Kluyveromyces lactis: one gene and its partner. The protein of the gene in region 1 binds, or shares a complex with, the protein of each later gene. Links are inferred from orthologs where the notes say so. Each region holds a gene or a part of one and is shown in the gene's direction. Other genes may lie near its edges. The genes, in order: RPA34 and RPA12.

What was found.
Region 2: RPA34 (region 1) and RPA12 share a complex: the UniProt entries of both Saccharomyces cerevisiae proteins name them as parts of the RNA polymerase I (Pol I) complex. The link is inferred for Kluyveromyces lactis from reciprocal best matches to the Saccharomyces cerevisiae genes RPA34 and RPA12.

What each region holds. Positions count from the first base shown.
Region 1 is NC_006037.1:552,726-555,390, reverse strand, and holds RPA34 (DNA-directed RNA polymerase I subunit RPA34), read left to right. Parts: upstream 1-1,403; coding exon 1,404-1,988; downstream 1,989-2,665. Other genes in the region: rRNA-processing protein LAS1, read left to right, coding at 1-111; transcription factor TFIIE subunit TFA2, read right to left, coding at 2,093-2,665. UniProt on the Saccharomyces cerevisiae protein: DNA-dependent RNA polymerases catalyze the transcription of DNA into RNA using the four ribonucleoside triphosphates as substrates. Component of RNA polymerase I (Pol I) which synthesizes ribosomal RNA precursors.
Region 2 is NC_006038.1:1,214,173-1,216,669, forward strand, and holds RPA12 (DNA-directed RNA polymerase I core subunit RPA12), read left to right. Parts: upstream 1-1,288; coding exon 1,289-1,771; downstream 1,772-2,497. Other genes in the region: chaperonin-containing T-complex subunit CCT5, read left to right, coding at 2,031-2,497. UniProt on the Saccharomyces cerevisiae protein: DNA-dependent RNA polymerases catalyze the transcription of DNA into RNA using the four ribonucleoside triphosphates as substrates. Component of RNA polymerase I (Pol I) which synthesizes ribosomal RNA precursors.

The sequences.
Region 1 (2,665 bases):
GACTTGAATGAATTGAAAAATCAGTTCAAAAAGATCAAACAAAGCAATGCCCCCATCTCCAACTGGCAAGAAGTCACCGAGTGGACGCCTAGACCATTTGGCGTTTTGTAATTAGTATAATTAAGCCTTTTAGATACATAAGACAAAGCAAGAAAGATTGACAGTTCTACAGGTTCTGCGATGATAACAGGATTGAAAATGGAAATGGATAATAACATATAAAAAGATCAGACATCCTAGGAAGGTCTCAATAAAGAGCGGTCACTGAAGAGTACTAACGATGGGTTCGTAGGCGTACTCCTACCGTGGAAACTGCGAATGTAAAGGAACCAATTTTCATCATATAAAAAAATGTTAAAATCCATAACGCACAATCATGTTCTTAGCTAAAAAGAAGAAGTGAAACGTTTTGAAGAAATAAATGCAACAGAAGATACGACGATGGATCTTGTTTCACTGTTACTTTGACCTTAAGAAAACTAAAAAGAGAAAACTCAGATGATCTAAATTGTACATGTCAAAGCATGTACTGGCTTAAAAAGTCGTTGCCCCGTAAGACAACAACATGGTAGACTCCCATATCGTCATGGTCGATATCGGACTGGGAAAGAAGTGTAGACCGTTTTCATCATCGTTAAATGTTTTGAAGTTCTTTCGTAAGGTATGAAGTAATAATGAATCCCACGTATATGCAAACTTTTACGTTTATTTCTTCATGGAAAAGGTCTCTTTTCCAAGCGTAACATAGACGAATCAGTGTTTCACGGCTGTGAAACACTGCTCCATCAAGGATACTATAAAGCTCACTTGCCAACAGCAAGTGAGGCTAGAGAACAACCTACAGAACTTTTCAATACCTAACCTGGATAAATGGTTTGATGAGTTTAACATGTCTAGTTTGTTTCTCATTACCAGCCTTTTTATATTCTTCGTGTCGAAGAAGCATGGAAAAAATTTTTGGAATAATTGCGTCGTTCGACATGATAATACAGTAAACCAAGTACTTAGGGCATCGATGTCATACCATTCAACGGGAATCATAGTATTAGTGATCCAATAAATGTTGCTCGAAGGCTGTTCAAGTCGGACATACCATTTCTCGATGGTTTGTGATGAACTGGAACAGATTTCATGAATACGATAGTTTGTTCCACGTGTTAACCACGTGCATTTTCCCGGGTAACGTCTAAAAAGAAAGAAAAGTCTTTCCCAAGATGAAAAAATTCGGTTTAAGCTCATCTCATCTCATTGCAGATTCAAATAGACACACAGAGGCAGATAAGTGAGGTTCTGTGTGGTCCTAGGGTTCCAATTACAGTTTAACTAGTTCAGGTGAGTTTTTGTTACACCCTTCCCTGTAATATTATTCCACTCGCAAAACGTTATAAGAAATATCTCAAACAATGGCCAAGGTCGACAAAACTCTTTCAAAGGAATACATCAGTGATAGCGACAGCGATAATGATGGATCATCAGAAACTGTAACGGACGTTTTCGTTCCACCTGAAAACTATAAGAAATGTACACATTTGAAATCATTCGTGAAGCCTAAGAACTTGAAGCAAAAAGAACTTTGGCTTATCAAACTTCCTAAATCTTTAGATGTCTCTAAGCTTTCGAAATTACCTATTGATTTCACAGCGGAGTCGGAAACTGGCATCGAACAAAAAGGTAAACATTTCTCTGTGAAGGAGGAAATCCAACAAGAAAATTCCACTTCTGGTGCATCTTCTTCTTCTGAATTGACATTATTGACTCCTGTAGATAAGACAAAGTTGACCGTCGATTCATCTGCATCAAGATCATTTGATAAGATCTTTACCATAAGCGAAACTGCAAAGATTCCAAGCATTGATTATTCTAAGGTAAGAGTGGATAGAAAGGATGTGTTGAAGGTTAAGGGTCTCAAGACTAGACATTTCGCAACTGGGTATTACGAGGATAAAGATTTGAAGAAAGTTAGCAAAAAAAAGAGAAAGCACGACTAGAGCACTCGTTCTGGTCTTTCTGTATATTATTTATATATAACGCACTGGTCATATTTTAATTTGGGTTATATGTAGAATACGTTCATTATAAAAAGTAGGTATCTTCATACCCTATCGGAATAATCTCTCAATATACCAGCCATATGTGTATTGGTAACTTTACCCTTTCTTGATCTACGTTTCTTGACCTCTTTCCTTGTGGTTTGCTCATTCTTGATCGTAGCAGGATCCACACTAGCAGGCTTGAGACCCAAATCTTGTAGTTTTCTTGGTAATTCACTACGCTGAGGTAGCTTACAAGCTTCCCACATCGTAACGAACTCTTCATCGATTTGCCTTGATGGACCAGCATGGTTATACCAGACAAACCTTGGAGAATTATCCTTCTTTGTCCGAAGAACAAGGATTCTGTTCTTTGCTTCTAACTCGTCGATTGTATCAAAACATTGTGGCCAACCATCTTTTAACTCTTTACATGATATACCCTTGAACGTCGCCTGTGATCTTAATAGTTGTAGCAATTCCTCCGCAGAATGCACATCGTAAATGGATACGTACTGTAAAGTGTTCCTCTTTGGGTCAAACTTGAATTTTTGTAACCCCTTTAACATCGGAATCACATTATTATCCTTAGGTAACGAAAGATATGATTCGATTTGATCTACCGGTACTGCTTC
Region 2 (2,497 bases), on another chromosome or scaffold:
TCTGAAGAATCGGATTTCGCACCAGAACCAGAACCAGAACCAGAACCAGCAGCAGCAGCAGCAGCTTGCTGCTGCTGCTGCTTCTCATTCTGATCCTGTTGCTTAAACCTCTCCTAGCCGCCAGTAAGCCCTGCTTCGTCTGTCCAAAACAACAAGAACGAAGAGTACAACGTGACCAGCACTGCAGCAAGAGCCAAGAACCATACTACGTTCCTGCCTCTATGATCTAGCATTTTTGACTGTACTACTAAAAAACCTGGGTCCTTTTCTCGTCGTCGCTATATTACTTTACCAGACGTTCGAGAGAAGGGCACCGCCAAAATCAAAAATCACCGTTCACTGACTGTTTCTTTTATCTTATATATATATATATATATATATAAGATATAGTTATGTATGGAGAGGCAGTATTATTATTTTATGAATGTCAAATCAATGTCAAATCAATGGTATTGTGGAAAAAGATGGCAAGGCAATTGACATGACAAGCAGGCAACAAAAAGCAATTCTGAAATTTGAAATCACCATTCCGATCAATTAGATGATCTTATTGAGGATCAATCAAGTTACCCGGCACAGACGGAAGGTCGTGCAAACCTGAAATTTGAAATCACCATTCCGATCAATTAGATGATCTTATTGAGGATCAATCAAGTTACCCGGCACAGACGGAAGGTCGTGCAAACCAAATACGGCGGGGACCGGCTGTTACGATAAGAAGAAACTAATAGAGCAGTGTTTATGTGCAAACACTTGCTCTGCGGAACGGATAAATTGGAGTTATTGCATTGTTATCGTGTTACGTCACGGATAATGGCTTTTTTAGGGCCTAGACCTTATCTTTGAATCTTTTTTTTTTTTTTTTTTTTTTTTTGTTTTTCGTTATCAGATAGATGGAGAATCCATGTAGTGGGTCTAGAACACCGATATTGGCACTCAAAGGGTTATTTTCCTAATTGGGGAAAGGGTGCAATGATTAAGAGGCACGAAAAAAGAGAGTGCCGTGCAAGTAGGCAAGGAGAAGGTGGTAAAAAATCATGAGGATTGTATGTAAGAATAGTGAGTGAGCTGTCGGACAGAAAGAAAAATGTCGGGAATTAGAAGAGGTGTTACCCGGACGTTCAGTCCGGGTAACACCTCGTGGTATATCCGGACTTCTTGGATTACCCGGACTACTACGTAGTCCGGGTAATGTCCGGGTAACAACGTCTCATTTCTTTTCCACTCTTCTCGAATGAAAAACTAAAGAAGCCTTTATTGAAAATTGAATAGCCTAAGATGAGATGAGATGAGATGGTATCAGATGACTTGCCTTGCATTACTCCCCCCCCGTCCCCCGCTTCCTCCCCCGCTTCCTCCTCAGCTAAGTACCAATACTCCAAAGAAACACTTTTGCATGTCTGTTGTCGGTTCTCTCATATTTTGTCTCGAGTGTGGTGATCTACTCGATGGACAAGAGTCCAGTCAAGGCAAGATCAGATGTAACCAATGCAATGCCTCTTACAATTCGTCAAAATTCCAAAACTTGAAAGTGGTAACCTCAACAAACGATAAATCGTTCCCATCCAAAATCAGATCCAAGAAATCGTTAGTTAAGACGTCTATTGCCAAGAACGAATTGAAAGATGGTGCTATCATCAACGAAAAATGTCCGAAATGTGCTAACGATAAGATGCATTACCACACTCTACAGCTTAGATCTGCAGATGAAGGTGCCACGGTGTTCTACACATGCACCGCATGTGGATATAGATTCAGAACGAATAACTGAGCACTGTTCTGCCCGCCCCATATATACATATATGTGTGTACATAATATAATAGAGAGAGAGAGTTAAATAATAATAAGTTGTTACCCGGCCCTGTATTTTTTTTCCAATTCTGTAATATGGAATTATTACAGATTGTCCAGCGCCATCAAATATGTATGTAATCTTCAAACACATTGGAAGTTGGTTTTCAATGAGACGTATCACTTCTGAACGGTGCCCCAACTCCAGCAATTCACACCGTATCGATATCGTTTCAAAATGAGTGTGCCTATGCCCGATCTTTCCAACGCAATTGTCGCTCAAGATGAAATGGGTAGACCATTTATCATCGTTAGAGACCAAGGTAACAAGAAAAGACAGCATGGGATCGATGCTAAGAAATCACATATCCTAGCTTCTAGATCCGTGGCTTCGATCATTAAGACCTCTTTGGGTCCTCGTGGGTTGGATAAGATCTTAATCTCGCCAGATGGCGAGATTACCATCACTAACGATGGTGCCACCATTCTTTCCAGAATGGAATTGGATAACGAAATCGCCAAGTTGTTGGTCCAATTGTCCAGGTCGCAGGACGATGAAATTGGTGATGGTACCACCGGTGTTGTCGTACTAGCTTGTGCCTTGTTGGATCAAGCGTTAGATTTGATCGAGAAAGGTGTTCATCCGATTAAGATCGCTAATGGGTTTGACAAGGCTTCTCAAATCGCCATCGCGCATTTGGACTC